Linked DNA regions of Tamandua tetradactyla. The protein of the gene in region 1 interacts with the protein of each later gene in a biochemical or structural test. Links are inferred from orthologs where the notes say so. Each region holds a gene or a part of one and is shown on either strand. Other genes may lie near its edges.

Region 1 (7,607 bases):
TTCTGACACTGGATTACAGACATTGGAGGATCTCAGGGAAGGAAAATGCTTCCCATACATCAGCATACTCTGCTTCTCAGTTTCCTTATCTGTAAAATGAAGTCAACTAGATTATATGTAAAATAATTCAGTAATAGTCTATGAATCTAGAAAATAGGAAAGAATACCAAAAAGTAGTTGAAAAGTTGATTTGCCGTCTGGAATTTGCTTTAAACTACTTCAGGGTAAAAAAAGTCAGGGTGTAGATGAAGCAAAACTGTCATAATATTGATAATTGTTGAAATGATGCGACATGTGACATTGGGGCTTGTTATAGAGTTCTACTTGGGGTATGTTTACAGTTTTCCATAATAAAAAGCTTAAAAAAAGAGCCAGTCTCAAAATATTATTGAATTCCTATCTTAGCTTACTGCGAAAAGAAGCTTCCCAATAATGTACATTACTTTGAACTGGGTTCTTTCTAAAAAAAAAATTAAGTTCCGACCTTAGAGATTCTCACTATAGTATCTTACAGATGGAATTATGACTTAAAGTACTTGCTTCAAAATAAAAAGGAGGGGGGGAGAGCATATGACTACAGATGAAACGAGACTGGCCATGAGCTGATAACTGTCCTACTTGTGAGACAGGTACATACAAGTTTCTTATACTTTCCTCTCTTTTGTATATTTGAAATTTGCCATAGTAATTTTTTTTAGATGTATTTTACTTAAAATCCATTTAAGTATATATTGTGTTATGTACAACAAAGGTTCTGGATAACAAAGCTTTTTCTGAGTGTCAGTACACTGTAATAATAATGCCTTTTGAAAGCAGTTACAAGAAATCCTTTTTGAGTAACAGAATAATAGAGTTCTGGTGCAAGAATGAAACTTGGATCTACCTATCTTATGACTCTGAATCCAACATGCCATCAACTGCAAGGCTCATCCCAATTTCAGGATGTTTAAAAGCGAAAAAACGTACATTTTAGAATTAAACAAATAATGTAAACTGAGATGGATCCTTGATGTCTTATTAAGCTGTAAAGTTAGAAGAAGCTAAGTCTTCTCACCCCCAAGTCCTATGTTTCTTCAGCCACATTAGTAATTATTCTCCTAACCCAGTCTCCAACACTTGTCTAGGTAATGAAAAAACACTCTCTTAAAAAAAGAGCACCAAGGCATCTTGAGTTGTGCCATTTCATAGTCTTCTCCACAATTCCCATGGCTAAAAAAATTTTTTTGGTACCAAGCCTTTGAAATGTGTTGTGTATTATGCACTTAGAGGATTTCTCAACATAGAACAGCTGCATTTCAAGTGCACACAAGCCACATGTGGCTAGTGGTTACAGTATAAGCACGAGTCTAGATGCACTTTCCTTCTCCCTAACAGGATATTCAGAGAGCTTCTACCTCTGATCCCAAACCACCCAATTCCCATCTTTTCTCTGTGTCCCTTTGGGGAGGAAAAGGGGCCAGTATAGAGACTTTCAGCTGGGAAAAACAGAGTTATGGTCTAACATAGCTTGGGAAGTTTATTCAGGCTGGAAAACTCCTCCTGGTTACTGAGTAAAACAACTACACTTTACCTTAAAACTGAACCAACCTATGGTCAGAATGAAGTGTCTTGCTGCTGAATCCAATATTCAAAATTGAAGAGCACTGTGAGATCAATTCACTACTATAGTGTCACTTGTAATACAGGCAAGATGAAAATCTTACAGGCAGTATTTAAGTATGTTACACTCAACTTATGGTTCCCCCAGTTTGCCAGGTTACAGACTGAATGGGTCCTGTATAGCTCATTTCACTCCATGTTAAATAGCCCTAGTTATCTCAAAGGATTGAAATTTATAGTATGTTATTCTCACTATAAACCAAAAGGTTATTTTCTTCTTTTTCCCCTAGTGAACATATCTTTCTTAGTCTAGCTTCACTTGCACACACCGACAGGGAGATGTGGCCATCAGGCAGATCTTAAAACCTACATACAAATATAACTTTTACACCTTATTAATACATCAAGTTCATACAAGACTCCAATATGTAAAAAGAGCTTCCTTCAAAAATACTATATTAATGGAATAAACTTTTCTTCTAACGCAAAACAGTAAGTTTTCTCCTTGTGCATGTCAGTTCCAAGTTCCTCCGTTGCACTGTTACTAACTAGAGAAGGATCCAGAATGCCCGATACATACCTTCCTTTAAGCGAACCTTCAATGCCAACTAATAAGGGGGCTTCTAAAACGACGTTATTTGTGACTCCTAGGAAGACAAGCACAAGTCAGAATCCATGCCTCTAGGGGTGTGGAAGAGGACAGGATTCCCTTTAAAGGCAAATTTGACGTGGTCATAAAATTATCTTGAATAGACGCCCTCAATCGCAAAGGGAGGTTTTCCTTTCAACTCTTCATCCCATCTTCTTCCCTAACCAACCCCTCCGCCACCCGGTGGAGAAAGCCGGAACGTCCTCCCCGGCCCGCCTCTGCCTTCCCCGGACACCGCCTCCCCTCACGCCCCCCCACTCACTGGAGAAGACCGCGGCCCCGAGGGACCGCGACAGGTCCCAAGCGAGGTGCACCGAGTCAGCAAACACCGCGTAGCACTGGGCGCACTGGAACACCGCGCACCTCTCGGGCTTCAGCCACGAAGGCAGCCGCGGGCCGCCTCGCTGCTCCTCCGCCTCCAGCCCTGCGGGGCCGAGCGGCGAGGATCCCTTCACCACCAGTGTGTCCCACTCCATGGTAGTAAAAGAAGGTGTGTCAATCGCCTTCTGAGCTCCATCATCACAAAAGTCGTCCTGAGGTAACTTTGCATAGCGCGGCCCATGCCGCAGACGCCTAGCCGCCATTTCCCGCAGCCGGCGCCTCAGTTTCGAACAAGCACCAGGCTCCGCCCCGAGAGGGCTTTCTGTGTCCTCATTGGACAGCGTGAACGGCGGGACCTGCCGTGCAGTCGTTGCTTGGACGCACCTCACACGCCCTCGGCGCCGTCGTGTGTGTTGGAGAGAGGCGGGGAGGAGCGTGCGTCTTCTGGGACGAGAAATCAGCCTTTCTATTGGTCAACGTCAGGGAACTCCGCCTTCGAAACCTTTTTAACCAATGGACATGCAGCGTTTTTTATTTTAAACTGTCTATGTACTTTTTCTTCGTCAACGCCTAGAGTGGCGCCAGAGTTTTGAACTGTGCTGTAGGGAGTGCTGACTGAGACTTCCTGGTCGTCTGGTTTGCAGATCGCGATGACCGTCCCCTCCCTAGAGGAGCTGGACTCCTTCAAGTACAGTGACCTGCAGAACCTGGCCAAGAGTCTGGGCCTCCGGGCTAACCTGAGGGTACGGAGTTCGTGGCGCCTGTTGTTGCGTGGGCTGGGTCGGATGAGCCGACACGGGAAGACGCGGGGGAAGGGACCGAGCGGGGCCCCCAAGGGATGAGGGATCTGTCCTGCTCCTGAGGCGGTAGATGAGCTCTTTAGTTCTCGGGGTCCTCTCTAACTGCGAAAAAGGGGACCGTAATTTTCACCTTATTTTGAACCTAACTTTTCTGGGACTCACGAGGGCAGTTGCTGCAAACAGGTGTGGTTTGGTTTTTTTTTTTTTTTTTTTTTTTTTTTTTTTTTTTTTACATTTTCTTGTTTTATTGTATTTTTTGTTTCTCCGTTTTCGCTACATGGGCTGGGGCCGGGAATCGAACCGAGGTCCTCCGGCATAGCAGGCAAGCACCCCGCCCGCTGAGCCACCGCGGCCCGCCCTGTGGTTTGGTTTTAATTGGAAATTCGCTACGAATCTTCCAGGGCATCAGTTAGGGTGGGATGCTGCGTTTAATGCCAGTTAATTTGTAAGCAGTTGCCTAAATAATTGCCTCGGCTTCTGGAAAACTCCAGAAATAGTTAACGTTTCTGTAAATTGTAATAGCACCTATAATCTTTCTTTCTTTCTTTCTTTTTATCCCAGCACCTATAATTTTTTGAAACTTTATTTTGGAGGCCTGGCAGAAAGAATGACTTTTAGGGGGTCACCTACAACGGATATATTTTTATAATTGAACCCCCACCTAGTTTAATTGTTCATTTATTGATCACTACTGTGGCGGTGTTCTTTTTCAAAACCGATAAGGTCTTTGACCACGAGACTGTAAAATGTTGGGGTGGAGGGGATGTGGGATTCGATATGGGATTGCTTTTCTATATAGTGTAGATTTTCCCACATAATACTAATGAATACTCTGATTGTGGGCTGTGGAATTTACACTGAATGAATACTTAAATCAGACATCACAAATGTTTTCTAAATGACTTAAAAAAATAATTAGCGCTCTGTGCTTTAAGATTTAATGGTTCTTCAGTAGTTCATGAACAAGGTCTTAATTCCTTAGCTTAAATTCCTTACACTTTTTGCAGTTTAACTGGAATCTTTAATTTTCCATTGAATCCGACTGGACCAGTCCCTGAACAACTGGAACGTTAGATCTCTGTGCCTTTGCTCGGTTTGACCCTTTTCCCTCATATCACGCTCCCCCCTTCTCTTACTCATCTTTATCTGCATGAGTATTTTCCAGTTATCCTTTACAGTCCAACTGAAATGTCTTCCCCAACTTCATGCCTCATCCCTACTTCTTTATTCCTTTAGCCATAGGCCCACCACCCAGTAATCCCAGACACCCTCTGTGCTTTCAGAAGAGTTATTTTTTAAACATGCTTTGAGCACTTGGAGGATTTCACCTACCACTCTGGTTATTTGTGCTTGTATGTTATCTCTTCTACTAAAAGTTAAGCTCCTTGGCACGAATCTCACCCATCACCTGGAAGTCTTTATTAAGTGCCAACATTTTATGTAAGAGATGCTGAATGATTATTCAGAACTATTCCTTACGGTCTCTTCTTGACAGTGCTAGAATAATGCACCAGAGATTAGTTTCCTTGGCAAAAGAGTTACAGTGAAGGCTTCCCACCTGAGTTTCAAAGCTCTATCACTCAGGCCCTACCACCACTTGGATCTCTGAAGAAGTTTGGCAGGTTAAATTTTTTTACCAAAAGTCCTTCTTAGCATTGTCTTTTGACACAGCTGATCTGGGGTAGCCCATTAGCCACCTGGTTCTATAGAGGTGACATTTTAGGGAGATATACAGAATTCTTGATATTAAGGTCCTCTTGACCTACTTAGAACACAGTAGCTGGAACATAGTGGGTGATCATAAATATTTGTTGGGAGGTACCATTTCCCAAACTTGACCATACAAGCTTTCATTAATAAGACCAACTGTAGAAAGGCACTATGAAATAATTGGGGAGAATTAAACTTGGACTAGGCATTGAATTATATTGATACTAATTTTATTGCATATAGTAATGGTATTGAAGTTATGTTTCTTTTTTAACTTTTTAATTGTATAATATAACATATATACAAAGCAAAGAAAGGAAAAAGCAATAGTTTTCAAAGCACTGTTAGTTGTATATATCGAATATTTACAAGTAAAATGTATATATTTAGATTTTCTATAAAATACTCCAGGAAAAGAGGGAAGACTAGATGAAATTAAGAACAGCAGGATGTTGATAATTGTTGAAACTGAACAACTGGTACATGGGAGTTCATTGCAGTACTCTCTCCACTTTTGTGCATGTTTGAAATTTTCCATAATAAAAAATTTTCGATTATGCACTATTGGTACACCCCAGGTGTCCATTAAAACAGTTGCCTTTTTCAATTCCAAATGCATAACAAAAAATGAAAAAAGTTCTAAGAAATTTTCATAATTTGATTCTTTTTAGATACTTAGCAGATTAAAAATTAAATAAATTTGACAAATATAACATTAAAAATAAATTTTAGAAGAAAAAAATATTAGCCCTTTCTTTTGAAACACTTCTAATGGAGAAGCAAAACGGAGGAGGTGGTTACTGGTATTTATTATTTGGCCACTGGGTCCTTTTCTCTTTTCACTTAACGCCCTCACCTCCTTCTTACCAGTTTAGATTACAGGGATCGACTCTAATGCCATTTACTTGCACATCACCGCCCATATTCACCTGACAAACCTCCAACCTGATTAAATCCAGCTGTGTTCTTAATCCCAGCCTGTATCTAAGCAGCTGACCCTGGCTTTATTGACTAAATTTAATTTAAGTTTATGACCCTAAATCTTCAAGTAGGCATTACCTGCGTAATCTGCCTTCCCACCTTTCCTTTTGTGCTAGGGAAACCATTCTCTTTCTCAAGGACTGTACTGTTGCAATTAGTGCCTGTCTCCACCAATTTCTCCCACTCCACTGGCTCATTCCTGCAATGCAGGAAATCATTTCTTTATGACTTCCATCTTAAAAGCTGAAAGAAAAAAAAAAACCTTCTCTTGACCCCATGTCCTCTTCCATCCGCTGCCCTATTTCTGTTCTTTTCTGTTGAAATTGCTCTTAGGAGGCCACCATGCCCCACCTCTTATAAAGCTTGTGGTCCATCTCTATCCTTACCCCTGCCTATCAGCAGCATGTGGCATGACTGAACACTCTCTTCTGCTCAAGGCCCTTCCTTTTCTTTGATCTTTAGTTTTCTCCTTTCTCACTAGCAGCTCCTTCATAGACTCCTAGACTTCCTCTGCCAACTCTCCAAGTGTGGCGAATCACAGGGTTCTCTCTTATACTTTATTTTTTTCTAAGTGTGCTCTCTACCTTAATGATCTCACCTACTTTCATGACTTGAAATTTATCTACAAGCATCCCAAATCCACACCTCCGATGGGATCTCTCTTTTGATCCGCAGACTAGTGGTTTTTCTATGTTTTTCTTTTTTCTTTTCTTTCTTTTTTTTTTTTTACTGTATATAACATATATGCAAAATAAAGAAATAAAAAAGAAATAGTTTTCAAAGCACTCTTCAACAATAAGTTACAGGACAGATCCCAGAGTTTATCATGGGCTACCATACAATCCTCTCAGATTTTTCTTTCTTTGCTCCAGAATACAGGAGGCTAGAAGGAATAAATATTTTTTATCACCACAATTGACTTTTTTCTTTCTTTTTTGTGAAAAATAATATATGTAAATATGTATATATACAAGAAAAGCAATAAATTTCAAAGCACATAGAATATATTTCAGAGTTTGATGTGGATTACGATTCCACAATTTTAGGTTTTTACTTGTAGCTGCTCTAAGATACTGGAGACTAAAAGAGATTGTGATTTAATGATTCAGCAACCATATTCATTTGTTGAATCCTATCTTCTCCGTGTAACTCCACCATCACCTTTGATCTTTCTATCCCTCTATTTGGGGGTATTTGGGCTATAGTCATTTTAACTTTTTCGTCTTATAAGGGGCTGTCAATAAAATAGGGTAGGGAGATGGAACTAGCTGATGTTCTGGAGAGTCTGAGCCCTTTAGGTTTCAGGACTTACCTGGTCCAGGTACCCATCTGGAGGTTGTAGGTTTCCGGAAGTTACACTAGTACATGGAACCATTGTGGACTCTTATATATTGCCCCAGGTGTTCTTTAATATTGGCTGAAATGGTCCTGGTTGGGGTTTGGCAGGTTATGATAGGTAACAGTATCTAACTGAAGATTACATAAGAGCAACCTCCAGAGTAGCCCCTCAACTCTATTTGACCTCTCTCAGCCATGGATACTTTATT
Region 2 (8,036 bases), on another chromosome or scaffold:
TTGCCAGAGTTGCTATAACAAACACCATCGGCTTGTGTTACGCAACGAGAATGTATTGTCTCACAGTTTTGTAGGCTAGACGTCCAACATCAAGGTACTGGCAGGTCGTGCTTTTTTCACAGTCTGTAACATTTCTTCAAAGTCTATAGTATTCTGATGGTTTTTTTTTTGGCAAACCATAACTCAGTCTCTGCTTCTGTTCTCCACCTGTCTCTTCCTCTGGCTTCTCCTTCTCTGTCCAAACTTCTGTAGCTTCTAAGGACTCCAGTCATACTGGATTCAAGTCCACCCTAATTCAGTTTGTTCTCATCTTAGTAGCATCTGTAAAGATTCCATTTACAAGTGAGCTATTACCCACAGGACTAGGGGTTGAGATGTGAACATGTCTTGTGGGGGACATGATCCAATTCTCAGCATGTTCTGTGAGGTCACTCACCTGGTGTGTCCCTCCATGGAAAAGTGTCCTTATAAGGTAGCAAACTCTTCACAGCTCTTTACTTCTGGGTTTCTGTACCATCTCTCTCCCTGCATCTTGTGGGTTGAGGGACAGTGTCAGCTTCAATGCCAGTGACCCAAGCTCCTGCAGTAATCTTTGGGGTTGTCCCACATGCTGTCTCCACTTTTGTCATTCAACACTGTAAAGAAACTGTTCTCATAATACTGAAATTTGAATGTGCCACCTGTTTTTTGTGATGATTCTCTCAGGAAGTGCACAATTGACAGCCACTTTAGTTGCAAACAGAATCACTACGAAGACACAATAGCATACATTCCAAGGCATTAATTCACATTGAATCTTCATTCAAGGATAATCATTTTCCCCTCCCCTAGATAGGACTTACAGGTGGGCTTCCACCTTGTGTGGGAGGAGGGTGTGTGACTAGCTCTTCCCTTTCTTACTTCACCTCCTTCCTCTTGTTTCCATGGCCATCTAGGCTGACATTTCAGGGAATGAAGGGAACAGGATGGTTTCTACTTGAACTGGTTCAGTCATATGCTGGTTTTGCACCCTCTGGTCTGATACATGGTTAGAAGTGACTCCTGTTGGCCCCTCAGAGATTCTTTGTTGGGCCCCCCAGCATTCCTATGATCTAGGGAGGTCCACCCTTGGGCTGGCTTCTCCTCTCAGCCCTGGTTGTCCAGAGACCCTTTTCACACCAGGACACTTATTGCTGGAAAGCCTTCATCCTTCCAAGTTTTCTTCTTGGGCAGATCTTAAAACGGTTCTATGTTGCCTTACAATCAGCAAAGTTTAGATCTGGTTTACAGCCGCTCAGACTCACCTTTATTTTGCCATTTAGACAGCTCAACAGCCTGGCTTTCTTGCTGGCCATTTTGTCCCCAGATTCCTGGGAAACCACAGTTTCTATGAATGGTTCCTCAAAGCCTCCTCTCTGCCAAGTTGAGCAAGTGGCAGGTACCTTCCACCTTCTCTCTTGGGGAGGAGTGATGGAACTTACAGCTCAGCAACCTCCAAGGAAATCCTCACTAAGTAATTTTGATCTCCATTTTCTCCCATCCTTTATGTCCTCCAAGGCAGGAGGAGGTTCAAGAGCAGAAAGGAAATAGCTCTCAGATATTTACTCTGAAGTTTCCACCAGGGGAGGAGAACACTATCTCATTGGCACTTGGGCATTTCATTTTCACCTCCTTTTGGAGTCTCAGTAAAATATAAACTTTAATGCACTGTTAAATACATTTTTGTTGCTAGTAATTACGAGCAAACAACACAAAACTGCTCAAGCTGGCTTCCACAATAGAGAGATTCTGTTGGCTCACATAACTGAAAGAGTTCATAAGTTGGATGCTCAGTTTCTTCATGATTTTCTCAACTCTACCCTTCTCCTTGTTTTATAAGATGGTTGCCTAAAGCAACCTGGGTATGTGCTTTTTTGTTCACCAAGAGGACATCTCTTCCCTCAACCGTTGAACAAGGTGTTACTGAGATTTACTCTGATTGGGCAAGTGCTCACCCATGAGCCAATCCCTATAATCAGATTGGCTTCAGTCTGGGGTAGGTGCCATCCTTCTACCAATCATTACAGAAGAGAAATGGATCATCCTGATTAGGTCAAACCACTGGGGAGCCATTCTTGGCATTTGGGTGGTGGTGGTGGAGGAGGTAGCTGGGGTTGGACTTGGTCTTGCCCAAACCTCCTAGCTGGGTAACTAGAAGGAAGAGTAGAAATGGAGGTTCAGGAGGCAATAACTACCCAATCCAAGGTCTTCTTCCCTCAAGCATCCAAGTTTGCCCTCACATAAAATGTGATTTTTTTTTTGGAACCTAAGTACTTTATATTCATAATACAAGCATACTTGTGACTCTAGAGGAATTTGTTTTGTTTTAAGGCCAAATTCTCCAAAAGGCACAGGAGGCACAGTATTCTGAGCCCACGATATTTTTAGAGGCCAGTGAAAATGTTTTGATTTCTTTTAAAATCTGAAGGAAAAAAACTCAAACTCTTAGGTCAAAGAAAATATTTTCATATATAATGTGAACATATTTGTCTTTATAACAATGCAATCACAAAATGTAACTTTTAATTTTTCATTTACTTTTTTTTGGAGGGAAGGGACCCACCAAAGCAAGGTGCCTAGGGCCCCTGAAAGTTATCATGGGGCCCTGTTTTGTGTTTCTTCTTTACTAGGATATCTCACCACAGAATTGAAGTGTTGACAATAGGAATCCAAAGTCTGAGGCAAAGATAATCATCCCTTGAATTACAAAGTTACCACCCACTTACTTAAAGAGGACATTGCGGGTTACAGTGTTGTACCAGAGATACCATGTTTCAAAAAAGCAAGAAGCTCAGGCTGAGCTTCCCAAAAGAAGCAGAGGGAAGGAAGGCAATTCTATGGGTGAAAAAAGGAGTATCTATTTGGAGTATTTACTTGCAGTTGGAAATTAGTTAACACCAGTATGGTGCAGTAGAGAGTGGGTGTATGTTCATGTCTGTAATATCCTTTAATCCTCTTAAGATGCCAGGCAGTAAGGACCGATTTAACTGATGAAATATGAGATTCATTGAAGGCAAATGGCTTTTTTTTTCACAGTTATCCACACAGTTATTACCTGGTGGAGGAGTATGTCAAACTAGAACATCTGACTTTATAACTTTTGCTCTTTGCTAGGGGCCAAAGGCACTAAAATTGGAAGAAAGTTTATGTAAATGGTCTATCTGATCAAGCAGAGTGGCAGTGACTTGGGGCACTTAATCAAAACACCAAAGAGTAGTTATAAGGAGCGTAGGTCCTGGGGGGTGCCTTTTTCCTCTTCTATGCTGCCAGGTGGTCTGCAGTACAGCTTGGCTTCTTTTCTACCAGTCTTTCTCCTCTGACCTGTCATGCATTTAAGTCAGAGTCTGGCTTTCTGGGGTAACTGAAGAAATCTGTCCTTACTACCCAAGAAAGATTATTAAAAACAAAAAACTTTTCATGTAATTTAGGATCTCACAGCTTTATTGAAATTCATGAATCGGGCAGAATTCCATTCAGAAAGAAGGGAGCTCCACCAACGGGGTAGAAAGAGGGAGTTTATATAGGGCAACCTGAAGCAAGCAAGGAAGTGTTCTTATTGGCTAGCATCAAGTTTCCATGTCATGTGCGGTGGGGGTTGCATCCTACAAAACGCAGAGCATATATACATTGATTAGTATGGGAAGCTTGTCCATTCTGATAAGCAATCTCTACCAGATCGAAGAAACTGGGTTATCACCATGTGTTGCTAATCTGCAACTCTGTAGGGATGTGTTCCATTTTCTCTGAAAGCCTCTGCAGGTCAATTGTTTTTGTCTTCTGGAAAAGCTGTTCTGGGAAAGAGGATCCTTCCTGGACACTTAATCCAGGTGGCCATTTTATTTTACTTAACAGCATGCTCACCCGCTGGAAGGGGCAAACAGCTGTCTGCTTCTGACTGCTGAAACACTTCCAAGCTTTCCAGCACCACACTGCCCAAGCAGCTTCTTCTCTAACTTTTTCCTTACAGTGCTAGTTTGAATGACCTGAGGTCCTTTCCAGGGTCTTATTTCAGGAACAACAATGAACAAAAGGAATGACTTGGATTAGGTGGCTCCCCAACAACCCCTGCTTTCTCCACTTCAAACTAAGCCTCCCCACCCTCCCTGCAGTCTCATCAGACAAACTGAAAGAATGGAGGCACTCAAAAGTGGATCTGCCAAAATATTGAATTAAAAAAATAAAGTGGATCTGCCAGATTGGGAGAAGGATCAATGGAGAAGTAAGAGTGTCAATAGAGAACATAGGATTTAACAAAATGAGTATGACTGCAGAATCATTATATGGATATTTCGTTTAGTTTCCAGTGTCTTGAAACAGCTGGAAGGAAAACCCTAAAATTGTGGAAAACTAACCCATTTCAAACTCTGAAATCTGTTCTGTAACTACTTGTAACAGTGTGCTTTGAAATGTATTGCTTTTTTGTGTATATGTTATATTTCACAATAAAAAATGTTAAAAAAGAGAAATGCATACGAAAATACATGAACATAATCTTAAGAGAAAAGTTGTTGCTGTAATAAAAAAATTAAAATAAAAGTGGATCTGCTAATACTGGCAACATGGACACCGAGGGAGTTTGTTAAAATGCAAATGACAGGGCCCCTAAGAAACAGAATCTGTGAAGGAGATCTATGTTTCAATCAGTTCTCCAAGTAATTCTTCTGCACGCTCAAGTTCGTGGCGGTTGCTTTATTGCAAGGAGAGAAAAGGTCACAGAGGAAGTGGGGTTGCTGAAGGAGAGATTGGTTGCTGTTACTAACCAATCGGAAGGTCCTCGCCAAGGGTTGGTGATTTAGTTTGGGGCCGGTTATTTTCTGAAAGCAAACCATCCCCCAACCTTCCCCAAACTCAATTTCTTAAACATGAAAAATGAGCTACAGGCGCAGTGACCACTACGCATGCGCGCTAGCAGGCTCCGCCGTCAGGCCCCGCCCTCAGACGTCAGCCCATCTCGGCCAGCTTCGCCTCGCCCCGCCCCACGCACGCGCAATGACGATTTTCCCTTGGTGCTCTAAGGCGCGGGCAGTTCGTAGGTAATGGCGGGCTCTTCGTCACTCGGTTGCTGTAGAGGCTGTTCCTCCCCTAGCTGTGCGTGTGACGTTAAGGGCAAGTGGAGCGACTCCTCGCTCTTGGGTAGACGGCTTTCAGAGGACTCGAGCCGCCACCTGCTGCTGCAGAAGTGGGCGGGCATGTGGAGCTCCTTGAGCGGGAACCAGCGGGCGGCCGGCGCGGAGGAGACGCGGCCCGAGGAGATGGCGGAGGCTGACGAGGAGGAGACGGAGAGGCCGCTGGTGTTCCTGTGCTCCGGCTGTCGGCGGCCGCTGGGCGACTCGCTGAGCTGGGTGTCAAGCCAGGAGGACACCAACTGCATCCTGCTGCGCAGTGAGTCCGGGCTGGCTGGGGACTTGGGGCCGCCCTCTTGGGTGTTCCTTACCAGCGCGGCCGGGGAGGAGGAGGGGGTTTTTTGGGGGGCCGCCCTGGGACTTTAAAGGCAGAGAAATCTAAAAGAGTGAGATAATCTAGGAAAGAGGGAAGGGGAAAGTCACCCCTATACCTCGGGCTCACGAGAACTGGGTCCTTTTCTGGTGTCCTTCATCGCTGAAGAGTAGGGGTTGAATAAGCATCTTTGTGAGCGTTAACTAAGAAATCAGTTGCCAACTAGATTGTAAGCGTTTGGGGTGTAGCCATTGGATCTTACTCTCCATAGACACTAGGGGGCTGCTAATTAATTAATAGATAGTATTTGTTAGTGGTTTAAGAAATCAAGCTTTTTAGCTAGCTGCTTCCTGCGGAGGAATGTCAAGATTGATTTCTCAGATCTTACTGCTTGTATCAGCGAATATTTTTACAGTTCCAAGTGTTAACAGCCTTAGCAGACAAAATAGTGCTGTGGTAAAAGAAAGGCTTGCAGTAAAGACACCAACATCCCCATCAAAACTGAAGAAGAGGAGGGAGTGAAAGAATTAAGAGGAAGGCAGTACTCAACTCAGTTTGTCGCTTCTGCAGTGTTTTATTTATTTATTTGCTGTATGGTGGGGGTCACATTTCAGTCTTTTTCCATGTGATTATTTTATTATTGCAGCACTATCTGTTGAATTGTTTTTTTCTTTTTGGGAAGTGCATGGGCCACAGTATTTGTTTTAAAGAGTGGTTTTATGTGGTTCTTTTTTTCTGAGTTGGTATAAAAACAGCATTCTTTTGGACCTGTGGTTTTTCAAGATGAGGTCTATTCTCTGAAGTTCTTGTTTAAATTCTACAAATATTTTAGTGGTAGAAATACATCATCAATTCATTGACGTTTGTAGGGAGAATGTTTTCTGGACTGTAATTTTGGGAAGGAAATCTTTTTTCTGCCATTTTCAATACAGATGCTGATTAACACTTATTGCTGAGTCCTCTACAGTAGTTAAATATAAACCTAAGAACATATAGATTTCATGAGTGATGCATTGGGATTAACCTTTAGCACCTATTAAAATCAAACAGTGAAGAAGAGTATAAAAGTAAAAAGGATCCTTCCACCAACCCCCAATACATTGCCATGTCGCAGTCTTCAGAATGCTTTAGTTTCATTTATACTTCCATATACATTCCATGCATGTGAGTATGTTTTGACATGTCTTTTTAAAAACACTTGAAATCATTCATCCTCTTATGCATCTTCTTTTCTTTATTCCACATATATGTTCTGAATCTTTTTTCATATTGATGTATATAGATACATTTCATTTTTGAGCAGCTTCTTGCTGAGTGTTGATATAGTGTGGTGGAGCCACTGGCCTGCTCCTGTTAGAATTCTGGCCCTGCCACTTACTGTCTGTAACCCTGGGCAAGCTCCTTAATGAATGTCTGTATACCTCAGTATCCTCCTCTGTAAAATGGGGACAGTACTTGTGTGCAGTAATTGATCAACTGAAGACAATTCTAGAATAGATTCCCCCCCCCATGAAAGACGAAGACATTAATTCCCATTCCCTTTTTTCCCTTCTGTCCCAGTTTAAGTTAAATTATTTTACTATGTCAAGATCATAGCATTTACATTCTATTCTGTAGCTTTAATTCGTGGGTCCCTTAATTGTAGTGTAATATTTATGTGAATTCATTTCTTAATTCAAGTACGCCTAACAGTTCCCATTCTTGAATTACATGTTTTGATTAGTCATAAATGAGTACACTTTCTCCAAGAAAACTCCAGGTTTGAGTGCTTGAAAATATCTTTCTGTTGTCTTTATACATGGATGTCAACTTGGCTGCAAGTACAATTTTTTGGTCATGCTTTTTGCTTTTTCTAGGCATAGGGAACAACTAATGGAAAGAAAGTCCTTGCAGCTACTGTGGCTGAAGAATCGAATGAAGTTAAGATTTAAAGTTAAATCTTTAAGGGGACAAAAAATTCGTGTCCTTGTAGGCTATTCTAAGGAATAGGGCTTGATTCTAGTGGCTGGTAAGATGGGGTGAAATGATTCAGATTTTATTTTGTCTCTGAGGAAGCATTGAAGGGAGGAACAAATGTGAAATTGGTAGGCCAGTTTGGAGCTAGTACAGTAGACTGAGCAAGAGGTGTTGGTTGTGGTTTGTGGATGGGAAAGAGAATACATTGGAGAGAAGTTTGTGAGGTAGAATGGACAAGATTTAAGTAGAGCTGGTATGGGAGAGCAGGATGAGATGGAAGAATCACAGATGACTCTAGGTTTCCTGATTTGAGCAACTGGGTGGCTGGTGGTAACATTTTACTGAGTTAAGGTAGACTGTAGGAGGAGGTGAAATCATGAGTCCGTTTTGGCCATGTTAGGTCTGATAGGTTCCTGCCTCATTTTCCTCCATCCCTTAACCTTGTCTCAGTTTGTCAGCTGCTGTGACAAAAGCCACACAGTGAGTTTGGCTTAAACAGCAGGAATCTACTGTCTTGCTGTTTTAGAGGCTGGAAGGCTTGCTTCCTTCCCGGATCAGTAATGTTCTGGTAGGCAGTCCCTGGGTTTTTTGGCTTTCCTGTCAGGTAGTGGTGTCCTTTCTCTTTC
Region 3 (7,542 bases), on another chromosome or scaffold:
TACTAAGGGCTCTTTGACTCTTGTAAGCCTAGCTACAGAGGACTGCGTCATTTCCACGAAGGCACTTAATTCAGATAGAGGTTAGAATGACAGAAACAAGTGTTTCTGACCTACACAGGACTTGTCAGTGCCTTCTCACTATCCCCAAAGTTAGTCTCATTGCTTTCTAATTGTCTGAGACTCTAATGGGGGATTATGATGATCTTGAGAAACCTCACCCTTGAAGCTGTCCATGAGTTTCCCACAAGATTCTTCCAGGAGGCTCCCACAGGGAGATCAAACCTATCTGGAGCTCCCATATCCTGGCACCACTACATAAGCTAATATAACTAAGAAAACTGTGTCATATATCTTCTCCCATGCCAAGAAGGTAAACTGGTAATTCCCCTTTGCTGAGGATATTATTTAATCTTTGAACAGACGTAGTCTTAAGCAGTCACTTGTATTGCTCAGCTGTTATCAGAAAAGGTTCAGCTTTAAGCAACCATGGGTTTACACAAACATGGAGTAAGATGAATGTTAGTAAGGTATTAACTGTGAAAGGGATACAGCAGACCGTCCAAAAATTAAAATAAACAACCCCACAAATCTTCTACCTTCTCCCTAGGAGAGGATGCAAAGACCTCAGTTTCAGTTTCCAGTTCTAGTTATTTCCTCTACATTATTATACAACAACCTACTTTTATTTTTTAATGACCAATTTAAAAAACCAAACTTGTAACTTAGCTCCCCCCATGAAGAAATCAGAAACACCTTCTTTACTCTTCTACCAACAGTTTAACTGTTGTTTATTGCCAATCGATTTTTTAAAACTTTGTAGCATTTCTTTCAAGAATTGCAGCAACGTTATTCTGCTCAACAAGGTAATAACAGTTATTAACACTCAATTCTATGTTTAACTACATTCAATTTTACCTGATAATCTTTTTGTACCACCATTTTTGAGCTCTTAATTTTGATCCAATTTTATGGATTATGTCTACAAGTAAATTTTTCAAGAAAGGTTTCTAAGTGCTTTAATTCCTGAGTCTTTATATATTTAGGAATTTTTTCCTATTGCTTTTACTCGAGTGATGTTCTGTATGGATAAAAATTCCTGTATCACATCCTATTTCTCTCACATCTCCATTAATATCCATCCACTGACATCCTTGGGTTCTTGACAAAAAAACTAGCTGACTTTTTTCATATAGGCGCTGTGCTTTCTCTACCTGGATCCTTATGGTTAAAAAAAGAAAAATGTAATCCTTAAGGTTGATCTGCTTCATCAAGCTATATCTTGGTCTTGATTTGTTCTCTACTGATTTTCCTGGTACGGTAAACCTTTTAGATGCCCAGATTAAAGTCTTCTTCTATTTCAGACAAATTCTCTTCTATAATTTTTTAAATATCTATTTTTCTTTTTTTTTTTCAGCAACTGTGCTAGTTTGAAACTATGTACCCCAGAAAAATCATGGCCTTCTAATCCAATCTTGTGGGGGCAGAACTATTGTTGGGTGGGACCCTTTGACTAGGTTATTTCCGTAGAGATGTGATCCCACCCATTCAAGGTGGGTCTCAATCCACTTACTGGAGTTCTTTAAGAGAGAGACATTGTGGAGAAAGCTGAGACAGAACGTTCTAGGTGATGCTAAGCAAGAACCCACAGAACCTGAAGGACCCAGAACCTGGAGAGAGCTGAGAGAATCTAAGAGATGAAATCTAAAGATTGCTCCAGACAAGCTAAGAGAGGACCCCCATGGACACTTAGAAAAACGACCTGGAGACGCTAAGAAAAGACCCGCAGGACGCAGAAAGCCACTGGAATCAAAAGCTGAAAGCAACGAACTAGGAGCAAGGACCAGCAGGTTCCAGTCACATGCCTTCCCAGCTGACAGAGGTGTTTCAGAGGCCAGCGGCCTTTCTTCAGAGTTCAGGTATCATCTTGTTGATGCCTTAAATTCAGACACTTCATGACCTTAGAAGTAGAAATCTGTAATGTAATAAAGCCTCTTTGTAAAAGCCAATCCATTTCTGGTATATTGCATTCCAGTAGCTTTAGCAAACCGGAACACTTAGCTTCCAAATACATCCTCTTTTTTCTCTTTTCACTTTTTAACTTTGCTCTTTTCCATTGTGATTCTCTTGTGATTTTCTCAACCCTCTCATTAACACTCCTGTATCTGTTTTTCAGCTGTAATAATCTTCTGTACCTGATGTGCCTTTCATTTCTATTCTTCCAACCCCTTTCTTTCCTCAGGTCTTGCAATTCACTCACACCATTCTGTTATCACATTAGCTCTGCTTTGAGCTCTGGCATTCTGTTTCTTCTAAAAATACCTCGTTTCCTAGAATTATTAGGCTTCCAAAGCATATTCCTCATCAGCCTCCCCTCCTCTACTTCTCTTCTTATCCTTCTTTTGTAGTGAATTTGTGTTTTATGCTGTTTACTGTCTCATCTTGATCAGAGGAAGAGAAGTACAGTTCTATTCAAGCCGATTCTCACTCCTGCTATTGGGCTCCTCAGTCCAGTAGTACAGATAACCTAATAGTCCCAGGAGCTCATTTGTAGCCAACAAACAAGCTCCCACAACCTTAGTGACTGAGGTTCCCCTTCTCCCAGCCCCCAATGGAGCAGCCAGAGGGCAGGGCAAGAGCCCAGAAGCAGAGGGTCAGCAGACAAGAGGTCCTCAATGCATGGGCAACTTGAAAGAGGACAGTCTCTGGGCCAGGTACCTGGGATCAATTACCAGGTGAACATCCACACAGGAGGATTTAAGGATTTAAGTTATAAGGCTGGGGTCATCTTCACTGCCTTATTATAGTGAAAATGGGTACATTCTGAATGGCCATTAAAAAGGATCAGTTAAGTAAACCATGGTACCACCAAACAGTGAAATAACATAGATGATTTAGACCTATATGTATTGTCATTTGAAATACACTAATGGTATATAAGTAAAAGACAATTTACATAAGAACACAGACACTTGCATTTATATATATCTATACATCTACATATATGTCTATTGACATACATGTACATATTCTATATGTCAAAATGTGTTTATATAAGCATAGTAAAATGTTGAACCAATCTTAACAAAGTGATGTCTCAGGCATGAGACTAGAGGGGGGATTATGGATTTTTACTTCCTGTTTTTAATTTCTTTACATTGGACATGTATTATCAGAAAAGAACCACCAGGACATTTCCATTTTAAAAAGAAAGAATGAAAAAGATGATTCTGGCAGCAGAGGACACACTAGAGAAGGGAGATCAGAGGCAGGGCAGAGCCGATTTATCATGGAGCTAGTGAAAGTGGTTCCTTCCTGCACAGCCCCTACAGAGACTGGGGACACACAATCCTTAACTACCATAAAATTTGCAAAAGGGTATTTTAGCCACAGTTGGGACCAGTTTCTCTCCCCTTGCCCTCCCTTATTCCTCTTTGTCACACCTCCCTCCCACTAGGTGGAGTAGCTGACAGCAGTTTTGCCAGCCAGAAAAGAATACAGAGGTGGGAATATACTGGGTTTTGTAGGATATGTTTACATTTTAAAAAGTCATTTTGCATGTGGTTACTATAGTTCTTGGCTACTAAGACTGTGCAGAAAAGGCTTCCAGGAAGAGCGTGCCTTCTACTAGGGCAGCTCTTCAAAGTCAACAACTCAAATACTGTTTGAGATAAAACACTGCAGAAGTTAATCTGAAATTCTACAAAAATCTTATACCACACATATGAAAGAAAATTGAGTCTTTCCCATCCTTGAGAACAGGCCTAAAAATCTACCCGACATTTCCAATGAGCTATTACGCTGAATAAAACTTTCCTAAAATGTCAGTGATAAAAAATAAATTTCCAGTAACCATACTGGAGGAAACACTGAATTATCTATTGTCTAGAGATTTTGTTACCTGAGCAATCTCGCATGAAGAAGCAGTAGTAAATGCAGTTTAAAAATAAAAATAAAATAAATGGGTGTTCAGGAAATTCTTAATGAAGATACTCTTTTCCGGACTCTATCGTGTCCGTGGCATTTGGCATTTGTAAACGTGCAATGTGTTGGGGTTTCTTTTCTGACTCTAAGTGACTATTCACTTCCTGCCTCCTTTCAAATTCGTAACTTAGTCTATCTAGCTTTTCTTAGACCCCTCCCACCTCCAGCCGCGCCAGGCCCGAGGCGGGGGCAGGAGGAAGCCCGCCCAGGGCGGGGGTCTGGGGTGACGGAGGACGAGGGGCCACGGTCAAACCAGCCGCCTGACATGTCCAAGCTGCAATTTTCTCACATGTCCAACGTTTGAAAGGACCGGATTTCACAGGATTCTCGCGCGGAACTAACCGTTAAACGGCCCGGAAGCGACCGGAAGAGCGACCCGGGATTCTCCCGTCATCCAACGCGCGCCTCGGGGACGGCGGGACCCGGAGACCCGAGCGCAGATTGGCTGGGAAACAGGGACGTAAACAGGTTTGAAAGAACCAATCAGCTCCCCGCAACACAACGCCAGCCAATAGAAAGCCCGAAGGGCGGCCGGTGGGGGTGCGTAGCGGCTTCTTTGAGCTGAGGGCTGAGAGGGGGGCGCTCGGTCGGGTAGGCGTTGGAATCGAGGTGATACCGGCGGGCGCCATGGAGGACGAGGCTCAAGAGGAGGCCATGCTCGTGGGGAAGCTCCGGGACAGCCGCCGCCGCTTCCAGAGGCGCATGCAGCAGCTGCTAGAGAAGGTGCGGCGGGCCGCGGGGAGGGGTGGGTCCCGCGAGGTGGGAGCTGGGCGAGAGTCGGCGCTGAGTGTCGCGGTTGTCGGAGGGGGTCGGGAATGGGGACCCCAGACTTCCGGCTTTGAGCTGACTCCTCCTCGGCCGGAGTCAGGGACTCCTCGCGACCACCGGATCTTGACGCGACGCCCTTTCCTCCCCCGTAGTACAACCGGCCCTTCGAGGACGCCCCGCTGGTGCAGATGGCCACGCTGACCTACGAGACGCCCCAGGGTACGAGGTCCCCCCTTTGAGTGGTGCTTTCATACAGTCTGAAATGCCCTCCGTGCCCTCTTAGGAAAACAAACTCGTAAATGAGGTATTTCCAACAGTTTCTGAAGACGAGTAGATGCATCTTGGTTCAGAATGACCCTGCCTGGGCTGGCATCCTAGGCATGCCAGCTCGGCCCCGTTGCTTGGTCTGCCTCTGTCTCATTGTCTTTGTCTGTAAGATGGGGAGAATGATGACAGTAATTTCAACCCGGTGTGGTGGTGTAAGTGTGATTTACAGTGTTTGTGACTCTCTTAGAACAGTACCTGGTAATAGTAAATTGTCAGTCGAATGTTATTTGCCCTGTTTGACTTGGAGTGTTACCTAGAGTCCTTGAGGGTCTACTTGAGAATTAATCTGAATGTAGAGAAAGCCTTTCCATTAAATGGTTAGTGTTGCAAACTAGCCTAAACCAGTCGGATCACCTGCTAGTCATGGATTCTTCTCGGTAAATAGCTGGAGAAAGTTCACGGTGGCTGAGCTAAGTTCCTCCCATACCGCCTTACATCAGAATCGCTACTAATTATAATGAAAGCAGATCTAGATCAAATTCTGCCTGGCTTAAACAAGCAAGCAAAAACCAGTTCATTGCTCCTGTTTGTTAAATAAGGTCTTAGCTCTGTGTCATTTAGGCTGATCCCATAATACATGAACCTAACAAGAGGTGGAGACAGGTTTTTTCCCCTCTCCTGTCTGCATCAGGCCATGGGAAATCCAACCCAGAGGCGGGACACAGTAGCATAGGAATCGGTTGTGCAGTGCCGCTCCTAAGAGTGCAGACAACAGGCTGGGCTATGTTCTGGCCAGGAGGCCAGTGTCTAGAATGGTTTGGCCTCTCCACAGTTTTTTTGTTGGTTTGTTTGTTTTTTTATTGTGAAATATAACATATATACAAAAAAAGCAGTAAATTTCAAAGCACACTACAACGATTACTTATAGAACAGTTTTCAGAGTTTGTATGGGTTACAGTTCCACAATTTTAGGTTTCTTTTTCTGCCTGCTCTAAGACACTGAAGACTAAAAGAAGTATCAATATAATGTTTCAGTAGTCATATTTATTTGTTAAATCTTCTCTTCCCTATTATAACTCCTCCTTCTCCTTTGATTTTTCTCCCGATCTTTAGGGGCATTTGGGCTATGCCCATTCTAGCTTTTTCGTGTTGGAAAGAGCCGTTGATAATGTGGGATAGGGCGATGGAACTAGTTGATATTCTTGGAGAGGCTGACCCCTTTGGGTTTCAGGACTTAACGTGGCTTAGGAATCCAACCCATCTGTACTCCGCAGGTCTTGAGGACCACTGATTTCACCAGTGAAAGCTCATTTCAGACTCCAGTTTGAACAGTTGAAGCACCTGAACACCTTGAGAGCGGTGCTTCTCCCACTTCAGCATGGAAAGTCAGATTGCTTGCTAAAACAGATTCCTGGGCCTCACTGCTGATCCAGTGGAGAACCCAAGAGACTTCACAAGCTCCTGGGGTCCCCTGACCTCATGCGGAGAGGCATTCAGTCAGGGAAGGGGCCTTTCTCCTGACCACCTTGTAGTGTGAATTCCTGGTTAAGACAACACCATAGGGTCTAGATTGAACCCCATCAATTACATTGAGGATAGCAGGGAGATAATCATCGTTCCTGTGTAGTGACAATTTACCATTTTGCTTGACACCCCTAAGAGTTTCCTATTTTGTATTGTCAACAACTCTACGAGGTAGTCTTAGAATCATCACCACTTAACAGGGAAAGATACAGCAGAAAGAGAAAGGTTAAATAACTTGTCCCGTATCACTTAGCCAAAGTGGCAAAGCCTCAATTTGAGTCAGAGCCCGTGTGCTCAGGCATTACTGTTCTGGAAAGGCCAGATGCCAGAGCAGCGGTCAGGAGCACAGAGTCTTACTGCCCATATTCATCTCTTGATTCTACCACATAGCAGGTGACTTTGGGCCAGGTATGCTTTTCCCTGCCTCTGGGTCTCCATCTATAGCATGAGCATGATAAGTCCCTATCATACAGGGCCTTAGAGGTATTGAATTGTATCTGTCACCAGCTTGACATGAATACTGAACAGGATCTGCCTGGAAAGTGCTAGAACAGGTCCTGCCACCTAGAAAGCACCATACAACCACAGCTGTGGTATTATCACTGACAGCCACCTCAAGCCGCTCAGTGCCATGATCCTTTCTTAGTTTGCCTTTGCCTAGTAGAAAATGTAGTTTTAAGGCAAGATGAAGTCCTTCACCCCTTTCTACCTACTATAAAGATTGTCCTCGATATATATGTATTTGAGGGCAGTACCTGGCTTGTGTATGTTCCTTGATTCCATTTAATTTGATGGCTCGATGATGTAATTTGATGAGTTGCTGTCTATGAGGTAGGAGAAGTTTTCTGTAATGACAAATGTTTGCCTAATCTTGATTTTTAAAAAAAGCCTTAACATCAAAGGTTTAATGGACTATATCAGAAGTCTGGCCTTTGCTTGGCCTGGGTTTCTTTGAATGCAGGTTTAGTAGAAACTCTGTCTTCAGATGACTAAAATGGTAAT

What was found.
Region 2: the proteins of OIP5 (region 1) and MIS18A form a complex in vitro, tested with the Homo sapiens proteins (3 studies listed by BioGRID). The link is inferred for Tamandua tetradactyla from reciprocal best matches to the Homo sapiens genes OIP5 and MIS18A.
Region 3: the proteins of OIP5 (region 1) and HJURP form a complex in vitro, tested with the Homo sapiens proteins (2 studies listed by BioGRID). The link is inferred for Tamandua tetradactyla from reciprocal best matches to the Homo sapiens genes OIP5 and HJURP.

What each region holds. Positions count from the first base shown.
Region 1 is NC_135340.1:54,911,220-54,918,826, forward strand, and holds the start of OIP5 (protein Mis18-beta), read right to left. Parts: upstream 3,029-7,607; 5' UTR 2,833-3,028; coding exon 2,511-2,832; intron 2,247-2,510; coding exon 2,180-2,246; intron 1-2,179. Other genes in the region: NUSAP1 (nucleolar and spindle-associated protein 1), read left to right, coding at 3,220-3,312. UniProt on the Homo sapiens protein: Required for recruitment of CENPA to centromeres and normal chromosome segregation during mitosis.
Region 2 is NC_135336.1:92,330,880-92,338,915, reverse strand, and holds the start of MIS18A (protein Mis18-alpha), read left to right. Parts: upstream 1-4,979; 5' UTR 4,980-5,054; coding exon 5,055-5,400; intron 5,401-8,036. UniProt on the Homo sapiens protein: Required for recruitment of CENPA to centromeres and normal chromosome segregation during mitosis.
Region 3 is NC_135329.1:210,914,132-210,921,673, reverse strand, and holds the start of HJURP (Holliday junction recognition protein), read left to right. Parts: upstream 1-4,485; 5' UTR 4,486-4,608; coding exon 4,609-4,704; exon of another isoform or gene 4,705-4,853; intron 4,854-4,901; coding exon 4,902-4,968; intron 4,969-7,542. Other genes in the region: TRPM8 (transient receptor potential cation channel subfamily M member 8), read right to left, coding at 4,324-4,375. UniProt on the Homo sapiens protein: Centromeric protein that plays a central role in the incorporation and maintenance of histone H3-like variant CENPA at centromeres.